Oryzias latipes: one gene and its partner. The protein of the gene in region 1 purifies or fractionates together with the protein of each later gene. This does not show direct contact. Links are inferred from orthologs where the notes say so. Each region holds a gene or a part of one and is shown on either strand. Other genes may lie near its edges.

Region 1 (11,444 bases):
ATATTTTTTTTTTAGCACAATTTTTTTTAAGTTTTACGCTAAAAAATGTGAAAGTTACAGTTGGAATAATGGCACAAAAACCACTCCATACGCCCATGCTGTGTCTGTTAGTTGGGAACATTTCTAGTAGAAAAATCACAAAGTCTGTGTGTTTGAATACTTTAAGCTACTAATCGAAGCGAAGATTTTAAATATCAACCCAGAACACGTAGAAAAAAGCAACATGAAAGAGTTGAAAACTTGTAAAGATAATGGTAAAAGTAATCAGGAAGAAACTTTAATCTTTTCACTGAAAAACAAGTACACTACACAAATAATAACTTTACAAAAAGAAAACATAAGGAAGTTTTCCTCATGATGAGACCAAAGTGTTCTTAGTGTAAACTAAAGATCCCGAGGGCTTTTCTTGTTGGAGGGCTTTGCGAGTCCGTTTTTTGCCTTCCGATTGAGAGTTAATCTTCAAGGTCATCTGAGATCTCAAACTCTAAATGGTCGCTGCTTTCTGTGTCCACAGTGAACACAGAGCTGAGGCTGCTAAAAATGGACAGCATGCTTCCATCGCTCTCGACGGTGCTGCTGCTGCTGCCGTCGCTGCTGCTGTCGTCATCGTGGATCACCATCACCTCTGCGGCGTTGGCGGCTGGAAAACAGAAACGCAGAGTGAGCCGCCCTTTCTTCCTGGAGAAACTCCACTGACATACGCAGCACTAATACGCCCGGCTAACAGAACAGAAGATGAAACATATTGTATTGTCATCTTGTGTAACGGAGGGTCTCTCGGCAGATCCCCTCTGGTGACACCATGACATGTTATTAGAAAGCCTCCCAGCAGCTTCCCAGCATTCCCTGAGGTTTGGACCCTTCAGCACTTTCTGCTGCTTTTGAGCAAAGGGTCACTGAATGGACTCTAGTCACAAAAGTTGATATTTTTAGACATTAAACCCTAAAACCAGGAGATAGTCCACTCGTGACAGAATGAAGGGAATGATTTCCAAGTTGTTTCAGGAACTTGTGCTCTTTAACACATCTGAATAGATCAATACATTTGAGTTTCTACCTGGGATGCACTCCGGTGAAAATCATGTTTGTAGTGTTTTTAACATGTTATTGAGGCATTTTTCTCATGAGGGAGGACATACACTAAGAAAATCAATTTTGAGCTGGCATTGGTTCTAAACTGTACGGCTGGGTAGCTCCGATATTGCTGCAAGGTACCAGGAGAGTGTGTTAACAGATGAAAGTGCGGGCGGGGTTACTCTGCGCTGATGGTCCCTCCCACATCTCTAATTTCTAATGAAAACAACAGATTTATTTTTTTATTTGGCTAAAAATGACCGTCATGATTAAAGACCAATAGGAATTCTTTGAAACTAGATGAAAAGATGATCAAAGCCTAAGTCACATGACCCGTACGGGTGCTGCAGGTCTTTGGGTTGTCTGGGCCCGTGGGGGGTCGTAGAGAGGCGTGGCTGCCTCTTAAGGGGGGGGTACAGGTGTGGGTTGTAGTTCCCTTAAAACTCATAGGGTCCCCTCAAGAGACGTCATGAAAATGGAACGTACCAATGTCGTGCTTGTGGTAAGTGTTTTGTGGGAATAATGTAGTGTAAGATGAACACTTGTATTTTTAGGATTTGACCAAATCTCTTCTCACGATGAGCTATTTTCCTTCATGGCGTCATAAGGAAAGGCTCCATTCACACAACGCTGTTACTGTGACCCCGCCCACCTATATCAGTACTGTCACTTTTCCACTTGGTGATGGCACAGTTGTTGAAGAGGATATTTCAAATTGGCTTTTCTCGTCATAAAGGTTGCTGTCCCCTACTGTAGTCCTTAGTAATAATAATACATTTTATTTATATGGTGCCTTTCTAGACACTCAAGGTCGCCTCACAGTACAAAATTATGTAAAATCATAAAAATATAACAACAAAACGCCACAAAACACAAAATAAGTTAACAGTTAAATCAGCAGTTTAAATATTATGAATCCAAGGCAAAAAGGTGAGTTTTGAGATGTTTGGAAAACAGAGAGATGGTCCATATTTTGTAGATCAGAGGGGAGGGAGTTCCAGAATTGCGGGGCTGAGCTGTTAGCAAGGATCGAGGACTGGCTCCTTACTGAGCGTGTGCAAATGTTGCACGGATGAGATGTGCATATGATACACAAGTGCCCGTTAGATGTCCACACAAACTACGCTCTGACGGTTTAATTTCCTCATTTCTAACAGTCAGGATCCGTGCGAGGAGCGCGCATTTATCACTTAACAGCACTAACGAACCTCTTGTGCAAAAATCTGAACGAAACGCACAAATTCCTCTCCTGATCATGTGACATTGAAAGATCAGTCCAATTTCCCCACTTACCTGATTGGACACTGCTTTCACAGACCTGCTCACCTGAAGACAGCAAAAATAAAAGTCTTTTAACAGCTCTGGGTTAACACTCGAAAGCTTTTCGGTCCAGTCGAGCATCACAAACGCACCTCTCACCTTTCCTCTCGTTGATGACGCTTTGCCTCTTCTCCTTGACGTCCAGGCTCAGGTTCTCCATCATGCGCTCGATGAAGTTGTCCAGGGCCAGGCAGCGGCTTTGGGACGTGATGGCCTGTCGGCAGATGGGACACTCTTCTTTCTTTTTGCGCCACTGGGTGATGCAGTAGGAGCAGAAGCTGTGAGCGCAGTTCAGGGTGACTGCCTGCAGAAGACGACCATAAGACGATCCAAAAAATGTCACTCTAACGGTCGGTGGTTCTCATTTGCAGGTGAAGCTAATCTGATAAGAGCCCACCTCGATGAAGAGTTCTGAGCAGATGATGCACTGAAGCTCGTTCTCCAGAACTTCAGTCATTTGTGTAACCACTTCATCTTTCTGGGCACGGGCCCTTTCCTTTTCCTCCTGAGGATTTATTGTGATTATTATTAATTATATATATTGTGATTTATTGTGGCATTCAGGGGCAGAAGATGAATAAAACTAAGGATTTTGAACAGACCTTCGTGGCTTCCAGCTCTTTGTTTTTGGCTGAGAGAATCTTTTCGAAGGCTTGTCGAGAGAGGGCGTGTTCAACGATCACTTTCTTTTGCTGAGAATAGATAAAAACAATACTTATCCTCAATAATGTCACTTCATAATCTCATAAATGCTGTCCGTCTACGGAAAGAAAACTCCTTTATTTTCTTACTTCTTGCAAGGCATCGTTCAACTGCTTTCTCATTTGCTCTTCCTGCTGTGTTTTCTGATGCTAAACACACACACAAAAATGCTTCTTTATCCCCACAAAACTCACTTCACATCCTGCTTGTAAAACAGACTGAAGCCACCCTCACCTCTGGCCACCTCCGTTCACTGAAGGACTTCTTTAAGGTCTCCATCTGGTGCATTTTGCCTCGGAGAGTCCCCAGCTGACTCTGCAGCTCCTGGACCCGCTCCCGGACCAGCGGGTCACCCTGCTGATCTTCTCCCTCCAGAGATGCTACCCGTCTCTGGGTGTCATCCACCTGCTCCCGCAGCAACAGAATGTTCTGACTGTACCTGCAAACGGTTTTGGGAAAGAAAAATGATGACGCACCAACACAAGCATCATGTTGAGCTGAAGTCACTGCAAAAACATAAATAAATAAAAAAGGCAGATTCAGATGAACACAGTCTATCAACATATTTCTAGATACAGGAGATAAATGCAACTGAATCTGAATGAAATAAAAGATCAGGACAAACTTGTTATTAGAGCTCCACAGCAGCTTTTTCAGAGGACAGAAGATTATATAACAATGTAAGATGTAATAGAGGAGGAATCATTATCATATAAGTTTGATTCTCCCGACTTCCTTTCAAGCAATTGATCAAAAATATATTTGACAATCATCATATTTAATTAATAAATAGAGCATTTTTCCTGTTGTAAAACACCTTAAGAGTGCTTTACATAAAATAAAAATAGTGATTAGGAAAGCCCCCAATACACATACGCATTATGCAATACACAAAAACAGTCCATAAAAATCAAATGAAAACACTAGGAAATGTAAGAGTTAATTAAAAGCTAAGCAAAAAAGACGATTTATACGATTTTTTCTTAAAAACCTCCAGGGTGGATGAAGCCCTCACGTCCTCAGCCAAGCGGTTCCACAGGTGAGGCCCCTAATACTGGAAGGTGGCTTTTGTTCTGAATGTGTCTATGTTTTATAATGTCAAGAAGATGGTATCGCTTTATGTTATTTATTTTCTAATCAATTGATGATTTAGTATCTTAAATAGATTTGATTAATCTGTTTCCTTTTATTATTTAATATGTTTAAAATGAAAGAAACAAATCAGTCTGAGGAGCCACTCCTACCTAGTTGAATTCATGCTCACAGTGGGGCAGGACAGTGAGCAGAGTCCTCTCTGAGACCCTGCATGATTAGAGAACAGTACTGGGAAAAGCCACTTCCGTCTGGGAGGGGGTTTGACGCAGGCCTTATTGATGGAATGGCATCAATATTACATCTGTGGTGCTTGTAGTTTGGTCTTTTCCTAAGCTTATTGTAGTCGGTCTATGATATTTCTAAAATAAAAGGTGGTGTTGTGGGGAACTATTTTAGTTTGATGTGAAACACAGATGTTTGAAGGCTCAGCCTGATGTATTTCTTCTGGGTTTCTAGTGAAATACAGTGGTCCCTCATTTATCGCCTGGAGATCCGTTCTAAAAAAACAAAACAACCTTGCAATCTGTTGAATCTGCGACGTTTCAAGGGTGTAAACTCCATTGCTACACACTTTTCTCAGACAGACATGAACATTTGTACACTTTTCTCTCTTGTTTAAACTTTCAAAGTTCAAACCTTTTAAGAAAAGATCGTCCAGTGTTATAGAATGAAAACAAGGTGTGACCGCGATGGAAGATTCATGCAGGTTTGCCAAACTGAACGCATTCAGTGCAGAAGACATGGCACGGAGTCTGAAGTCTGACAATCTCTACAAGATGCAGAACAGTGTGCTGCGTATGTACATTTTTAAATTCAAAATAATTGAACATAGTCAAATTAATAAATAAAAACATGCAAAATTGCACTAAAAAACAGAAAAAGGTGAACTGCAAATAAAGTTTATTTGAACTTTTTCCCTTTTGCGTGTTCACTTGTGTATTCTACAATGGAAGTGAAAGTTGGCTTACATCTGTAGGTTGTCACAGGGAGGTTGGGAGCCATCAGAACGTTGCCTCGACTCCTGGACACGTCTGCCGGATGCGGTCTCCTCCGGCTGGGAGCGACTCTGTTGCAGCTGGCATTTCTTTAGAGGCGGAGGGCAGGCTTTTGCTAAAGACTTGTCCGAGGAAGAGCGGCGGTACAGCTTCGGCTTTGAGGTAGAAGGCTCATCTTCTTCCATGGTCATCTTCCTCTTGGAACTCTCAGTGATGGCGGCTGCTGTGGCTCCCTCTTTATGCGTTTTTGCCAGGTGGAGTTTAATGTCTTTCAGGGGCTGCTGGACCAGGACGTAGTCGAACTCCACTTTGGACCCCATTACAGGAACTCCCAGCTGTATGGAGTCTCCAGGCCTGAGGAGATGGGCTTCATCAGCCGGTATACGGTTTCCGTTGACCCAGACACCATTGAGACTCTGTATAAGAAATCAGCTGTTACTTTCATATTTATGTACATTTTTTAATTGAAAATCATCAAACCATTTAGGATTTTTAGGCCATTCACAGGCTGCACGCAAAGAGTGCACAATTGAACTTGAACAGCACTAAGGGGCCCCTTGTGCAGGATACCAGAGATACAACCTGTCGCTGTCAGCAGAAAAGTATAAGCATGAACGTTTTTCTCTAACTGGTCTCACCATGACTAAAGCAAAAACATGAATGGTTACCAAGGAGCACTGTGACTATTTCAAGGGCAGCTACTTTAATTAAGCCACAGATATTATTTTTTTTAATAGCAAAATAAATAAACGCAGCCAAGAAAGAAAGTATAGCCACACATATTTGAAAAATTACGTGCGAATAGTCATTTTTTAAATTTAAATAGCCAGAATTCTAATTTTTATGCAACATTTCAAATGGAAAACTTGCCTTTAAAGCAAACAATGAAGCACACAAATATAATAAGGGGTACGATAACATAAAATCGCTTCCTCCCACCCCCTTTTGAAAATATTAATTAAACTTCATTTGACAAAATTAATATTTAATGGACTCCATGTCTTGTATTGTATGTATTACTGTGCATGTCTATCCAATTAAGTAATTAAATGACCTCCTAGAAAGTGCATGTATATCTTTATGTGCTTATGTCTTCTTTTACGTTTTAATTTTCCAATCATTTCATAAATAATTATCCTAAGTCTGACATATCTATGGTGAACGTCATTTCACCTTCTTGTCCGTCACCGTCCACTGTCCGTCTTCTTTTCTCTTGAAGGTGCAGTGCAGCCTGGAGATCATCAGAGGACAACTCGCTGACAGGAGCTGGTACGTCACGTTCACCCCGCGTCCAACGGTGACCTGCAGTCGAAACCAATTTAACCACAGTTCAAACTGCTGAAAACACAGGGGGGGAAATGGACCAGAAACACAGAAAAGTATGCGATTATTTAGCTAATTTAGCTAGTTAGCGAACATTAGCACCTCTGTGTTTCCGAACAAGCGAAGCCACTCGGATTTTTTCCCCACTCTCATGAGACACGCCACCTCCGAGTCCGAGCTGTCCTCCTCTTCTGCCGAACAAGATTCCGTGGTTGTACTCTCCATATTATCTCATTTTTTAAAGGTATAGAAACGATATAACGCCGCCGCAACAGTTACTTTGCTCAGTCACATAACGCTCCCATGCTAGCTCTGGGATAATTTTACTAGACCGGAAATCACCGGAAGTGTTCATGTGATGTTTCAAAATAAGGCACCCAACGGTGCTTTCTTACCAAAGAGACTATAATTATATTTTTTATAATAATAAAAATAAAATACATATATATTAAATTGAACGATGATTACATTACACTCTGAAGAGGCTTTTTTTTACTTTAATTGTTGTAAAGTGGTTAAAATGGTTTAAATATATTCTAAAGAACAATTAATGGCTGAACTTATTGCTAACATTTATACTATTTATTAAGTTTAAAACAGCTTGTTTGAAAATATGTCTATACTTTAGTTAAATTGTTTTTTAATAACTCAATAAAGTAATATCAAGCACCACTCTAAAAAATAATGAGTTTGATTGTAAAACACGTGAGAGTTCAAAATATTCCCGATGTATTAAAAGGAAACAACTACAAGGTGCATGTGATTGTTATGTAAGTTACGTTAAAGACTGGAACCTATGTTTGTTTACTTGTTTTTTTTGTGTTATAAACAGGATGAATATTTTTGTTTTGTTTGTTTTGTGTGTGAATTTTCTCATTTTAACAATTATTATTATTATTATTATTATTATTATTATTATTATTATTATTATTATTATTAATAATAATAATAATAATAATAATAATAATAATAATAATAATAATAATAATAATAATAATAATAATAATGTAATAGTAACACGAGGCTTCAGATCTTCCGGGCGACCCCGCGCTTCAAATCGAGCAAACCCAAGGCTTTCGGGCGGGACTTCCTTTCGCCCGCGGATGTCACATCAGGGTCGGCCAGGCTGAAAGGGCTTGGTCGGGGTGTCACCGGTTTGTGCGCCAAACTCTGGACCGGACGAGCAGGCAAACTGGCCGACGCTGGAGCCCCGCAGATGAGCCTCCTCCTCGGATATGCTGTCCTGAGAGCGCCGCACGAATCCTCCCGACAAAATGTCTGATGTAAACAAGACTATCCAGAAATGGCACGCCAGTTTTAGGAAAGGCTCAGACTTTGACTCGTGGGGGCAGTTGGTGGAGGCGATAGATGAATACCAAATGTAAGTCTACAACATGCGTGTTTGCTCCGCCTGTGGTAAAAGCTGCGGGGATAAGGACCGTGGGAGACAGAAGTTGCCCCGGCAGCTGTCAGCAGTAAATACATCCCTGCCCTCCATGATGACGGGATGTGGCAGCAGAGCTCCGTGCGGTTGCTGCATCCCGGTTTCAGTTTCGTCTTGGGTGTTGTGTTGTGTTTGTGTGCGTGTGTGTGTGTTTTCTGCTCTAAAGGAGCCAGCAGCTGCTCCGCGGAGAATTGAGAAACAGTCAGCCACACCCTCTCGTTGTTCTGGGCGGGTTCTTTGTGTTCAGAGAGAAACGCCATTTTTTAACTTTTCAAAAATCACATTTTTCATGAAGTGATCTGCTTTATTACTTAATTATTATGATTATCTGCTGTAATTGTCTTTATTATATTAATATCGGGTTTACCTGGTAGTGCTTTTGTTGGCCACAAGAGGGCGTGAATACACAGACTGCAATTTAATATGTACAAACTTCAAATGTATGGAACGCCGTTAGGGACATTTTCTGCAATATTTCTGCATAAAATGGGTGACCACATGCATTTCCCCCCAAAAAAGAAATAATATCTGGGTTAAAACTGACATTTAAATTGAAAGTTCCCACTCAGATGAATTTTTAACATGCTTTTGTGGCATTTTTCTCACGATGAAGGACAAACATTAAGAACATAAAGTTAACATTTTCCTCTCTAATTTCTTTTTTCCTTATTCAAGAGCAGAAGAAAAAAAATCTGTTTGTAAAAGATTGTATTTGTGACGTAGAAAACAAGCTCCCTGTTCCATTCTTATGCATCCATTTGTAGACAACTAGACTGGACAGCTCGCCATTTTTGTTGCATAATCATAACTAAAAGAGCACTGGGAACACTTTGACAAAAGATCAAAAGATGATCGGAAGGGGACTTTTAAAAATAATTTCAGTTGTGATGGAAACATTTTAACATGTCCTTCATAAAAGCATTTTATTTTCAGTTTTTTTAAGTAAACGATAAGAACTTAACATGTCTGTGAAGAAACTGGATTTTCTAGAAAGGACTGTATTGTATTAATTCGTAACCCCGTCAGTTTCTTGCACACAGAAATAATGAATAATGACTCAGAGACAGTTACTTATCTTTGTTTTATAAGGAGTCATTACTCAAAGCGAGCACACACCACAGGGGCCGTCGAAAAAGGGCAAACTCAGACACAGACAGAGAGATATAAAAAGCGTTACACACACATAGTTTCCCCGGAGCTCCGTTTCGTCTCAAAAGTCACACTCAGCCTCCCAAGGCTCTATTTCTTCGGCTCACTCGCCGCGGCTGCTCCTACACTTATGCCTACACTTCCATCCCTACACTGCCATTCCCACCGAGGAGGGAAGGCGCCTACACTAGCAGCCTCGCGCGCCGCCCACACTTTTCCCGTCCGCGCAGGATGACTCGTGCACGCGCAGCACCTTGCCTGCAAGCGGTGCTCTGTTCAGCGTGCTCGCGCAGCGGACTGCAGCCGTTTCTCTATTCTTCCCCCAACGTTGATGCACGCACACACAAGGACACAGACACAGTCAACATAAAGCCCTAATAAGTAAAGAGAGGACAGACTTTCTGTGTGGCGTACTCACTTCAAGCAATGAACCTCGCCATTTGATGAGGGTCCGAAGTCGCCGAGGGCACCACCGGATCCAAGGGCAAGGGCCGCCGATCCTGAAGGCGGATGTTTCAATGCTGAGGATGTGGCTAGCGGTTTTCGGGCAACCCCCCCCAGGGGTTCCAGCGATGTCCAGGGCGTGCCGGCCGGCTCAGAAGGAGCAAATGTGAAGAAACTGGATTTGTCGACAGTTACTTATCTTTTGTGGAGGTTTTACTTCGTACAAACACGAAGGGGACAGACAGATGAACATGGTGCATTCAAAGTCCGAACCAACGAGCTCAGGGATGGGGTTGGTATAAATGCATTTGCATATTCAGAAGATCGTCCGATGGACCCCGTGTGAAAAACACGCCCACAGGTTACTGCTGGAGAGCAGTTCCAAGGCTAAAGTGAAGATAAGTCTGAGGCCTGCTCAGGAGATCACACATGCACAGAAAAAGGGAGTATGAGAAGAAACTGTTAGAACAATAGCTTGGCTGTGCTGTCTTCAAATGTAATACAATTTTGAGATGACAATACATGCTCAGTGAATTAAGTTTAAACCATTAGTGTAATAAAAGTTAAAGGCAGTTTCTAACTATTCTTCACAATGTCTGATTTATTGTGTTTTGTAAGAACTAACGATGTTCTGTGTTTATTTGTGGTTTTATTTAGTCTAGCGAGGCAAATGCAAAAAGAGATCCACACAACAAGTTCCACAGATTTCACAGAAGAGCAGAAGGTGATCTTATTGATTTACTGCAAATTTATGCAGCGCTCCTATCCTTTTCTGCAGCTAAAAACAACGTTTCTTTTTTCTGTCCAGAAAACTTTAGGGAAGATTGCAACATGCCTGGAGATGAGAAGTGCGAGTCTGCAGGTTTGTGTCACTTTTATTGTCTTTGTGTTTGTGTGTGTAAGGGCAGACATAAAGAAAGTCCACTTGGATGTCACTTTTGGATGTATTTGTGTCAGTTTTGTTGTCCGTTTGCATCTGTAAAATGTTTTTGGTACTTTAAGTCATTTGTATTTCTGTTTCAAATTTTTGGTTTTTGTTGTTGCCTTTTGCTAATTCTGTTAAACATTAATGGTTTTACTTGCATTTTTTGTTCAAGTTTTTTGCTTCCTTTAGGATTTATTTAAGTATTTGTTTAGCTTTTTTGGTTGCTGGGACTGACTTTAAAATTGATCTGTTCCATTTTTTTCTATTATTTTGGCATTTTAAAAATGTTTCTGTGTCTTTGAATAAATAAACCAGTTTATTAGAAAGATCCTGATTTAATTATCTGAGCTCAAATGTCCCTTAAATGCATTTCCTCAGTGCACACAGTCAATGGAAGAATTCAAATTAGAGGACCTGAAAAAATTAGAAACCAGTAAGTAAACAACAAAACATTTGTATGAATTATTGGAACCTTTGGGTTTTTTTAACAATATCTTTTCTCTTATTTGTTTTTGTTTGCAGTAATAGAGAATATCCTCACCTATAATAAAGAATTTCCTTTTGATGTCCAGCCCGTTCCCTCGAGGTAAAGAATTGAGTTTGTTTATTGTACGGGAGTAAGCATTGCTTTAGTTTTAAAGCTCTTCTTCTTGTTGGTCAGAAAAATCCTGGCTCCAGGAGAGGAGGAGGATCTCGATCTGGACGATGATGAGGATGCGGGGGCGTGTGCGTCTGAGGCTTTCGCGTCGCGAGCTCCTGGTACGGTAAACCCCACCCGCCCGGCCGCCGTTTCGTTGATCCGTTTCGTTCACGTCTCCTCATCTGTGAGGGCCATTTGACCATGCACGTCTTTGCTCTCTTTGTCGGAGTCATGCATGTCTTCATCGCTCATCCCTGCCTGCCCGATTCATTTCCAGCTTCTCAAGGTACGGCGTTTTGTCTTTTAGTGCCCGTTTTTCTCATCAGAGCTTCT
Region 2 (11,594 bases), on another chromosome or scaffold:
AGCGCAAGCGCACCTCCTCTGATTGGTCGATTATCTGAGGCCCCGACTCTTCCCACTTGTCAGGAACCACCAAGTCTTTGTCCGTATACACCAGGAGGTCAAAGGAGCCTGCAAGAACAACTAATCAGAGGGCCGGCCGAGCAGGGAGGAGCTGCAGGAGTCACAGATGGATTATGGGAACTCACACTGCGTCTCCAGCAGAGGCAGGAAGGTGACGGTGGCCGTGATCTGTCTGATGACGGAGCGGATCTCATCCTGAATGGTCTTGATGGACTTCTCTCTGGGAGCACTGCTTTGAAAGGATCAGAGTCAGAGGTCAGCACACAGAAACAAAGGCTGGACTGCCCCCCTACCCCTCTGGCTCCAGCTGAAGGGGCATTTTGGAGCTGTAGTGGTGTCCCACAGTGATTCAAAGGAGGAGCCGTGGTGGATTGCTGGTAGGACGATCCGCGTCACGCTGTGGCGTTGAGGAGAAACGCATTTCCTCACGTGGGTGTGCGCTGAAGCACAGACGTTTACATTTAAATGTAAGTCATGACTTTGTTTATGCGTGACTTTTTAAATAAAACCCATGATGTGTATTTTCTGAGCGCTAACGCAGCAGACCGACTACTATTCATGACGTTGTGGAGCGGTTGTAACGTCCGGATTTGAAGACACTTTTCTCCATAAACTCAGTCATTGTAGCTATTTGGACGGCAGAGCAGCAGCCTGAAATAAAAACCACAGAAACGTTTGCTCCCTCAGAATGAGAACCTGATTTGGAGTACATGCCGAGTCCCAACCCCACAGAAAACCTTTTTTAAGGTTTAAACCGAATCCCAATTCCTCCCAGCTCCTGCCCATCCCCCCTCCAGCAGTTATGGAAACATTTGAACATTACCAGTCCTGGATGGCGTCATCAATAGCTGCATATCTTCTACGTTAGCATTTAGCTGCCAGCGCTAGAGAAACACACAACATGGGTTTTCTAGCCTTGACCTACATTTAAATGTAAACTCTGCTTCAGAACACGCCTATGTGAAGAAATGCGCTTCTCGTCCACGCCACAGCGCGCCGCGGATCACGCTAGCGGTGGTGGGATAGCCAGCCCCTGGAGAAGCTCCTTTCCTCTTGAGACATTTGGAACTGGAGAGCGGGCTCACCTGCTCTCTTTGGCCGACTTGTCACACTCGATGTCAAACTGCCATCGCTCCAGCACCTCGTTGGTCTCCAGGCAGGTGATGACCAGCACCAGCTTCTGCACGCTGCACTCAAACAGCCATTCTGAAACCCAAACCCGCGTTACACGCCTGCTTTAAGGCCTAACACGCAGACCAGGTAAGTCCAGGCTCAGAGATTTGCAGATCACCGTCCCGTTTTACCTGGACCAGGTGTGTCCATCTGGAAAACAAGCCTGTTCTAACATGACACAAGAAAAACCTATTCCTGCTGTTTCAACACCACCAACACACGAACCGAGCTACACAAACGTCTTCAGGATGCTAATTTTCTGCTGATTCTTGATAGATAGCTTGTGGTGTCCCACAAGGATCAATTCTGGGCCCGCTGCTATTCAGTATTTACATAAATGATATATTCAATGTCTCACAACTATTAAAACTCATTATTTGCTGATGACAGATCTATTCTATTCCATTCTACAAACAATCATAGGGAACTTAATGTGGTGAACATAGAGTTAACCCTTGTGCTGTCTTAGATGACCCCACCCTTACATGGATGTGTTATTCCTACCATGACAAAGGTGGATAAAGGTGGAAAGATGTCATGGAATCCATGGACACCAGTGAAGATCACAAATCATTGAAGAAAAAAGGTTCAGAGCACTGTCTAGTGGGTCTAGATGACCCAACTCCCAACGTTAAAGTGCCTAGGATAGAACAAGGGTCACACAAAATAAAATCATGGCTGACGACAAATCCTCCTTTAACCCAGATAAAACTAGTGTGACATATTTTGCTAACTACTACACCAATACCGATGTCTCAATTAAAATAAATGTCTTAATTTAAAGTGTTACAGAATTCAGATTCTCAGGCGTTTTTATCGATGACAAACTAAGTTAAAGCCTCACATCAGACACACACAAAATAAAGTCTCCAAAAGTATTTCCATCATAAGTAAATCTAAACATATTAAAATACGACAGTAGATATTTATTACACTGCTCCTTAATTTTACCATATTTGACCGACTGTGTAGAAATTTGGGGGACTGATTCTAAGAGTTCACTACATCCTCTGTTTACTTCAAAAATGAGCCGTCAGAACTGAACATAAAGCCGGATATCCTGATCATACAAACAATTTGATCAATCCAGACTTCTAAAACTGTATGATCTTGTTGTGTTTTAACTTCTATTCAGAGCCAGTGGGAAATCGTTACCATTCAATACCAAACAACACAAAAGAGTTCTTAGAAAATGAAGGAGGAACAAAGTGAGGGGATGCAGGAACTTCAAGACCAAACTGACAAGAACCACAAAGACAAGTTTGTGTCTCATTCAATCAAGCAAATGTGACTTACGGTTTTAATCTATGCATTTCATCATTTCTGTAATGACTTTGAGAAATCTGTGTAAATTCTTCAATGTTGCGTCTGACCCTAAATTATGATGAACTCTTTGGGCTTTTAGAGGACTTTTGGGCAGGAAAACATCACTATTTAGGCACATCGACACGTGGAAACAACATGAGGTGTCAATCATCCCAACATCCACCTCCATATCCCATAAATCTGTAAAGAGAAACAATATCCCACGCCTCTTGTCTTCAATAAGCCTTTGCTGGACGCTGACAGACAGGAATTGCATCTTGATCATTGCCTCCATGTTAAGAAATAGAAAAATAAAGTCCTAACAGACACGGCCTGCTTTAGGACAAAGAAAGGACAAACTACCTTTGAGTTGAGACACCACGTTGGTCAGGTAGTTGTTCAGCCTGGGCTCCGTGGAGACCTGGAGGCTCATGTCATAGTGAGTGACCCTGGTGAACGTCTCTGGGGGGTAAATGCCCCGCTGGTACAGGATGCTGTTGATGCCGAAGGCTGTGGGGAGGATCACGGGGCTGTTATTAGCGGGGGGGGGGTTGTGACGTTAATTCAGGTCAAAGACTGAGAACACTCTTTTCGTCCACACTACTCTACGTTAGTTACTCAGCCGATGATAAGTAGTTTGTGTCTGTTCAACCCGAAATCTAGCATTCCTACTTTAACTCTGGTGACGCTCGGCTTCTTTACCAGCACACCTGGCGGTGGGCGGTGTTAGAAAGCCGCCATTAACCTACACATCGACCAGAAGCAGCCATTCGATCTTTAAGAAGTTGGCTTCAGAAGGAAGGCTTTTAAAATGCTGCGACGGTTTAGGGCTCTGCCTTCGGTCTGGAGCCGCCGTAAATACACTCGCTGGCTACACACAACAACCGAGCACGCGGGCCCGACCGCCCGCTAGCACACAACAAATGAGGAAGAGCCGTTGAAAAGCCCGGCTAGTACAGAAACAAATGTTGAAACATACAGAAAAACTCGGCCACCAGCTCCGCGCTTCCTTTAAGGGTGATTCCTTTTAAAGTACTCGTCATTTCATGAAATGACAATCAACCGTTGAAAAGAAACGTCGGGCTTCTTGCTGCACTGAAGGCTGAAACTGGTACCCGCCGTCCGATTTGAAAAATCAGTGACAACCTCTACGCATGCGCAAAAAAGACAGACCTCCCCACGTGGTCAACCCTAGACAGGAGAAAATGACTTTTTTCTTTTTTTGAAACTTTATTTATACAACAGTAAACATCACATCGGCAAGTTTACCGTCAGATGGCAAAAATCAATGTTATCTTAAAAAATAAAGAATAAATTATAGTATGTAAATAAAATTAACAGGGACATCGTTAGCAAAAAGGAAAATTTAAAAACAAAAATAAATAAAAATATATTAAAGTATTTCTCAGTAGAGGGAACTATTCATCAAGCAAAAAAGCTCATATTGTTTCAGTGTTATGCCTTGAATGTAATAATCTTTTGAAGATATTAGTAAAATTGATAATCTCTATCAAAAATCCTGTAAAATTGTTTTTTTGGTTTTTTTTACTCAGCACTTATTTAAATAGAAGTAGTAACAAATCAATACTATTTCCTACCAATTGATCCTGCGAGTTAAAATATGTAAGAATGTGTTTGAAATATATAATAATAGTACTGTTCATGCTTATAAATCTTTTCAATTGGATCCAGAATTTAAGGGAGAATTGACAATGGCAGAAAAGGCGAAGAACTGATTTTGGGAAATCATTACAAAAGCTACAGTTATTTCCTATATTTGAGAATTTGAATATGAACATAGTGTGGGGTAAATGTTATGTAGAATTCATTTGTGTATTTCTTTAATTTTGTTATTTATGCCAAATGTTTCTGGCAGTAACTATGCTTTTGTCCAAATGATAGTTAAAATATTATTCCAATAAATTTCTCCTTTAGGTGTTATGCTTCTTTTTTCATATAAAGTAGTAAATATATGTTTGTTGTAGCATTTTTTATTGAAAATATCAATATCATTAATTGTCAATAGAGGGTCTATTTTTAGATGCCTTGTGATATTTAACCCTTGTGCTATCTTATGTCCCCACCCTTGAGTAACCGGCAGGTCGGCCTGTGACAGGTGCATGCCTGCTTGATTGGGGATGTAGTTCAGCTGTTCTGCTTCTTTATAAGGAACAGGGAGTGAGTTGACAGACAGTGGCTGCCTGCCTGCATGGTGGTATGTATGGCTGAAGCTCCTCTTGTCGGAGAATGTAGATCACCGGTTACTCATTTTTATTCTGCTCTTTTAACTAGATTCTGTTAGCGGCTGGACGTGTTGCAGATGTCATGAGCCACTGCGTGTTCTTTACCCACCCTTATTATACATTTTAATGTGTTTTAGAGTGGTGCTGTATTTATTGTGTTGTTGACTCTGATTCCTTTTTATTGTTGCATAGGTGTGAGTCGGGCGCCAGTGCGTGTGGTGTTGGTGAAGGGGCCCCTTGTGGCAGCGTCTTCCTCACTGTATTTATTTCCTTTTTAGTGTGTAGTGGAAGTTTCTTTGGCACGTTTTTCTTGTGTGTGTGTGTGGATTTGTTTTCAGCACGGAGTGGAGTGAGGTGCGCTATGTAATCCATGGACACCAGTGAAGATCACAAATCATTGAAGAAAAAAGGTTCAGAGCACTGTCTAGTGGGTCTAGATGACCCAACTCCCAACGGTAAAGTGCCTAAGATAGCACAAGGGTTACGGGGAGAGGTCATTAGTTGAAATAATCCTGAGGGAAGAGCTTTCATTACAATTTTCAATTCTTTTTGCTTGTTATTGGAAAATATTTTTTAAGAACCTGTCATAACCCAAAAGGGTCTTTTATTTTTTTAAACCAGTGTGGTGAAAAATTATGTAACACAGTGTACTGGGTGGCTGTGGGGTCGCGTTCTAAGTTCCGGTGTTCATTGAACGCATCAAGCAGAAATGCTGATTGGCTCTCAGTTCTGTCGCTCAACCTGTAGTTGGGGAGTTTGGTCCAATAGGGTTCAGCTATGGCCCGAATAAGGAAATGGGGCTGATGCAGGAGCAAGGGAATAAAGTTTGGGGGAGTGCTCTCAGCGGGAGGATACAAGAGTTTCTGGGCAAGTTGTGCAGCATTGGTTACAGCCTACAGTAACCAGAATAAATAACCTTAACCCTTGTGCTATCCTAGGCACTTTAACGTTGGGAGTTGGGTCATCTAGACCCACTAGACAGTGCTCTGAACCTTTGTTCTTCAATGATTTGTGATCTTCACTGGTGTCCATGGATTACATGAAATCTTTCCACCTTTATCCCCCTTTGTCATGGTAGGGAGAACACCTCAATGGAAGGGGGGGGTCATCTAAAATAGCACAAGGGTTAAGAGATTAAGTCTCCGTGCCTCAGTGTGTGGGAAAGGGACGCTACAATTGCATTACCGGGGCAGCTCTTTCGGCCAAGGCGAGCAATTAAGAGTTCTGGCTGTTGACATCGACAGATTAGTTAACCAGATTTATGCTCACATGCCCCCAGCCATTCAGGAAGAGCTAGCCCGGGACCAGACGACCTTCGCGTTCAAACCCAACCAGCGCACCGTAAGTTACTGCAGGAGGCCCTGGAGCTGGCCACAGAGAGAAAAATGCTGTGGAGGCCCTCCTCCAGGGTGGAGCTTGAGGCCCCTCCAAAGGTTAGAGCTGCAAGTGTATCAGAGCCTGACACCAAGGGGCCTGCACGGGCAGAGGAGCTGACCCAGCTAGTAAAAGCTGTGACCCTGAGAAACGAACAGGCATCCAAGGTCCGCCCCCAAAGAGACTGGAGCTGACCCAGGACCTCCTGGGGTTGTGGGAAACCTGGGCACTTGATTCGTGACTGCCCGGACAACCAAGGAAACAGGAACGGGACCGCATAAGCGGGACAATGTGGCCCCCTGAAAAACCATCCCGATTGGACCCACAGAAATGGAATGCTGGCCATGTGGGGGTCAAAGAAGTCCCATCTGAGAGACTAATGACTTTGGGCCGAACCTGGGTTGGTGACTGCTGGTTCACAACTATGAGTGTTGATGCAGCGTCATGCTTAGCTTTAGTGGACACAGGTTCATCTGCAACACTGCCCTGCAGTGGTGAGGAATAATGCAGCCATCCTTCCTAACGCTGTAACATTACAGACTGTTACTGGAGAACGGACTTTCATGCAGGGGGAGGCTGTTGTGACTCTGGAGGTGGGAAACCAGCAAGTGAATTGGCCTGTGTGGATTGCTGACTTGGAAGAATGCTTACCAGGCCTTGATTTTTTTTTGCGGGCCCAAGGTTGTGTTATTGATACCAAGAGAGGAACCCTTACATTTTCTGATGGACATGTTATCCAGATGACCAAATTTCCTCTAGATCGGGGTCCCATGTAGTTCACACCCTGTCCATGACTGACAAAACCAAGTCTGATTCAAGAAAAAAGAAGAGCTCTGTCTGTTATGTATATCCAGATGAGCCACCCAAACCATCTGTGAATAAAACACCTATAGACACAGAAAAGATGGCAGCGGTAAGCACCTGGTCTGTTTCCACCTGACCCTGTTCTGCCCTTTCTACTGGACACGGATGCCAGCAATGTGGGCTGTGGTGCAGTTCTGTCCCAGGTAAGACCTGTGGGGGACAGAGTGGTTGCATACTACAGCTGGACCTTTAACAAAGTTGAGCAAGGCTAGTGCTCCACCCGAATGGAACTCCTCGCTGTGGTCAGTGCCATTAGACACTTCAGATATTACCTGGGGGGTCTTCATTTCACGGTCAGGACTGATCAGGCTGCCCTACAGTGGCTGATGTCTTTTAAGGAGCCGGAGGGCCAGCTGGCGCGCTGGATTGAGGAGCCACAGGCCAAGTCAGGCCAGTGGCACGGCACCAGAACACTGATGCACTGTCACAGCGGCCATGTGTCACAGAGGACTGCCGCTATTGGCCTTTATTTTTTTATTAAGGTCAAAATGTGAAAAAAATCCAGAAAATCACATCGTCCGATCTTTTTAATAATTTATATATTTAGTTTATTTATTATTAATTATTTGTGTAAATTATGGTGGAAAATAAGTCTTTGGTCACTGACAAACAATCAAGATTTCTGTCTCTCAGACCTGTAACTACTTCTGTAGAGGATCCTCTGTCCTCCACTGGTTAACTGTATTAGTTACACCTGTTTAAACTGGTTATCTATAGAAAGGCACCTGTCCACAACCTCACACAGTCACACTTCAAACTCCACTATGGAGACCAAAGAGCTGTCTAAGGACACCAGAAACCAAACCTGTACCAGGCTGGAAGACTGAATCTGCAACAGGTGAGCAGCTTGGTGTGAAGAAATCAATTATTAAGGAATGGAAGACATACAAGACCACTGTGAGTCTCCCTCCATCTGGGGCTCCCCCCAAGATCTCACCCCGTGGGGTCAGAATGATCACAAGAACGGTGATCAAAAATCCCACAACCCCATGGGGGACCTAGTGAATGACCTGCAGAGAGCTGGGACCAAAGGAACAAAGGCTACCATCAGTAACACACTACACCACCAGGGACTCAAACCCTGCAGGGCCAGACGTGTCCCCCTGCTAAAGCCGGTACATGTGCAGGTCCGTCTACAGTCTGCTAGAGAGCATTTGGAGGATCCAGAAGAAGACTGGGAGAATGTCCTATGGTCAGATGAAACCAAAATAGAACTTTTTGGTAGGAACTCTACTGTTTAGAGGAGAAAGAATGCTGACCTGCATCCAAAGAACACCAGACCTACTGTAAAGCATGGGGGTGGAAGCATCATGCTATGGGGCTGTTTTTCAGCAAAGGGACCAGGACGACTGATCTGTGTAAAGGAAAATATGAATGGGGCCATGTATGGTCAGATTTAGAGTGAAAACCTCCTTCCATCAGCATTGAAGATGAAGCATGGCTGGGTCTTTCAGCATGACAACCATCCCAAACACGTTACCCGGATAACAAAGGAGTGGCTTCTAAAAAATTACATAGAGGTTTTTAAAGCTCTAAAACAGGTTTCAGTTATTTTTCAAAGCATCAGGCTTGAAAATTTACAAAATGTGAAATTATCCCTGTTTATTCATGTCATCACCAAACTACTGAAGCCATCAGGATTGTTAATGAAGGAAAATATCTGGGTGCATTATTGTCTAAAAAACACAATAAGGACGGAAGAAGTCAACATTTCAAACTGGTTGCTTGATGTGAAGCAAAGTATAAGTCGCTGACTGACAAGAGCTTTAACTATTTTTGGGAGAAATTTGTTAACCAAAGAGGGAGTCTCTAAGATAATTTCTCCCTGCTATTCTTTGTACACATCCTCTCCAAACTTAACCCTTGTTCTATCCTAGGAACTTTAACATTGGGAGTTGGGTCATTTAGACCCACTAGACAGTGGGTCATCTAGACCCACTAGACAGTGCTCTGAACCTTTTTTCTTCAATGATTTGTGATCTTCACTGGTGTCCATGGATTACATGAAATCTTTCCACCTTTATCCACCTTTGTCATGGTGGGGAGAACACCTCAATGGAAGGGGGGGGGGGGGCATCTAAGATAGCACAAAGGTTAAAGAAGGTTTACTCAATTACTTTTCAGGTCCAGTGGAAAAACAAACCCCCCATATCAAACGTTCCCAACTATTTAAAAGTTATGACAAAGGTGGCATCAATTTGAAGCTACATTTAGAATGACATGGTTAAAAGCTCTTCTGATTGATAATTACTTCCTATGGTTTCATATTCTAAAATCCATCTATCAGCATTTAGAAGGAATACTTTTTTTACAATATGTGATTTTGACGTTTTGAGGAAGCAGAGAAAGAGAACTTTGGGGTGGGGCTGTCCATCACTCAAGCTGAAGTCACTGAGGCAGTCCATGAGCTCCTCGGTAGCAAAGCTCCGGGACTGGACGAAGTCCGCCCTGAGAACTATGGAGTTCTATCCTGTTCATAATTAAATAAATAAATATTTAATTCAATAAATAAATATGACCTCATGCAAATACACAATCAACCAATAAATCTCTCATAAATATATAAAAAAGATCATGAAATGGTGAAAAAGCTGCACACAGATTTAAAATTAGCCATTATATTATTCAACATATTTCATTTTGCGTTAAAAACCTGTTCATTATTTTAAAACAGCATTTTAAAATATTCATTTTTAATCATGTGGAATATTATTATAATTCTACGTCTTTTTTCAGAACCTTGGATTTCAAAATCAATATTTTCCAAAGTAGCTTTGTTTTTATTTCATGTTGCTGTTTTTCACAATGACTGATTTATTTCATGAAGAGCTTTTTCAGGAGAATGTTTCTGTCTGTCAATCAAACCAGATAAGGCGGAGACACTTTTGTGATTGGCTACTCCTTTCCTCAGACATAAGCAGCAGCACAAGTGTGCAGTTTTTGTATGAGGGTCTGTGGGATGATGGTGTTGAAAGCTGATGCACAAATTCCTATTCTCTAGGTGGGTGAGGGTTGTGTGGACCACAGAGGAGATGGCGTCCTCTGTGGATGAGTTTGACCTGTATGTATATCAGTGCAGGTCCTTGGTGACATCAATGGAATCTGTGATGAGGGTCATGGCCAGTTTTTCAAAACATTATATGAGTAGGGGTGTTCCAAAATATCAACGTGGTGATATATCACGATATGTAGTCCCGTGATTGATTCTCTGTGCGTTTTCATCAAGTATTGACCTTTCATTTACGTTTGAAGACTCTGTAAAACATTATATTGTAGCAACCTGGGGGTTAGCCCCGCCTTCAGCCCTTGAGACTCATGGGAAGTGGGGAATCATGGGGGCAAACCCTGAGTGTAAGGGCTGGAAGCAGAATTGAACTCCATGCTGTGTGTGTTTGAATAAATGGGAGTTGATACTGAAAAGGAGACTTAGCTTCTCTTCCTTTTTCTTCCTCTCTGAGACTGTCGTGCAGTGTATGGGCCACGGACAGCTCTCCAGTGAAGCCGCTTTAATAGCAGCTGGGCTATAGTGACGTACCGGCCGGGTCGTTACAATATTAATCATCCTTTGGTAAGACGATTTTGCGGAGGGTCGATAGGGGGCGCACGTAGCGAGATTGGCTGTTGCGGGTGGACGAAGAAGAATACATATTCAAAAAAAAATGGCGGAGGGGAAAAACAAGAAAATAGGGAGAGCAGCAAGTTAATAGACGCGCCAGCAGCATTGAAGCTGCATCATCTGGAGTTGTGTGAGAAAGCCGTGGTTGTTGCTGGCCTGAAGCCGACACGGCCCGGCATGGATACCTTTTTCCAGGCGAAGCTAACGCCGTCTTCTGGAGAGCAGAGGCAACGACAAAAGGATCCCATGATCAACCGTATCAAAGGCAGCACTCAGGTCTAACAGAGACTTTGCCATCATCAGTGTTCAGGCGGATGTCGTTGGTTTCTGTGCTATGATGGGGTCCAAAACGGCTGAGTAGCTCGGTGGGTAAGGTGAGCGGCTACCATGCAGGAATCCAGGGTTCGATTCCCGGAGGGGAAGAAACAATGGTACTGGGGGCAATTATCATATCAATGACGAGCAGTTAACATCACTCAGTGAGGGTCCTTAACGCTCACCGCTCCCCCAGGGGATGGGTCAAATACGGAGAAGAATTTCCCCATTGAGGGATAAATAAAGTATACGAAAAAAAAAAAAGACCTGACTGGAAAACATCACATGAATTGTTTAATAAGAGAAAATCAGTGAGCTGTTGGTAGACAACTTTTTCAAGGACTTTTCCTAAAAATGGCAGATTAGAGATAGGTCTGTAATTATTCAGTACAGTGGGATCAAGACCGCTTTTCTTCAGGAGAGGTTTAATGACTGCAGTTTTTAAGGCCTCGGGAAATATTCCAGATTGAAGAGACATGTTAACTATTTGAGTAATTGATGGCAACACACTGTTCAAGACAGACTTTAGAAATCTAGTGGCCTAGATAAAGTGCCTAGGATAGCACAAGGTGTTACGCCCCCGTCTGTATCTAGGGTTTTGGCTATCGAATTTTAAATTAACACACCAAACAAATGTCTCCATA

The links.
Region 2: the proteins of rnf8 (region 1) and mad2l1 purify together in Homo sapiens (co-immunoprecipitation; 3 studies listed by BioGRID and IntAct, with this or other methods). This does not show direct contact. The link is inferred for Oryzias latipes from reciprocal best matches to the Homo sapiens genes RNF8 and MAD2L1.

Annotation. Positions count from the first base shown.
Region 1 is NC_019882.2:5,926,616-5,938,059, forward strand, and holds rnf8 (E3 ubiquitin-protein ligase RNF8), read right to left. Parts: upstream 6,890-11,444; 5' UTR 6,735-6,889; coding exon 6,612-6,734; intron 6,489-6,611; coding exon 6,360-6,488; intron 5,603-6,359; coding exon 5,160-5,602; intron 3,536-5,159; coding exon 3,331-3,535; intron 3,246-3,330; coding exon 3,186-3,245; intron 3,087-3,185; coding exon 2,997-3,086; intron 2,900-2,996; coding exon 2,792-2,899; intron 2,699-2,791; coding exon 2,494-2,698; coding exon of another isoform or gene 2,487-2,493; intron 2,401-2,486; coding exon 2,368-2,400; intron 641-2,367; coding exon 453-640; 3' UTR 250-452; downstream 1-249. Other genes in the region: aida (axin interactor, dorsalization-associated protein), read left to right, coding at 7,784-7,890, 10,204-10,270, 10,355-10,408, 10,850-10,904, 10,994-11,057, 11,133-11,230, 11,389-11,397. UniProt on the Homo sapiens protein: E3 ubiquitin-protein ligase that plays a key role in DNA damage signaling via 2 distinct roles: by mediating the 'Lys-63'-linked ubiquitination of histones H2A and H2AX and promoting the recruitment of DNA repair proteins at double-strand breaks (DSBs) sites, and by catalyzing 'Lys-48'-linked ubiquitination to remove target proteins from DNA damage sites.
Region 2 is NC_019876.2:30,701,193-30,712,786, forward strand, and holds the start of mad2l1 (mitotic spindle assembly checkpoint protein MAD2A), read right to left. Parts: upstream 3,703-11,594; 5' UTR 3,582-3,702; coding exon 3,518-3,581; intron 3,049-3,517; coding exon 2,902-3,048; intron 1,267-2,901; coding exon 1,146-1,266; intron 293-1,145; coding exon of another isoform or gene 290-292; coding exon 186-289; intron 109-185; coding exon 1-108. UniProt on the Homo sapiens protein: Component of the spindle-assembly checkpoint that prevents the onset of anaphase until all chromosomes are properly aligned at the metaphase plate.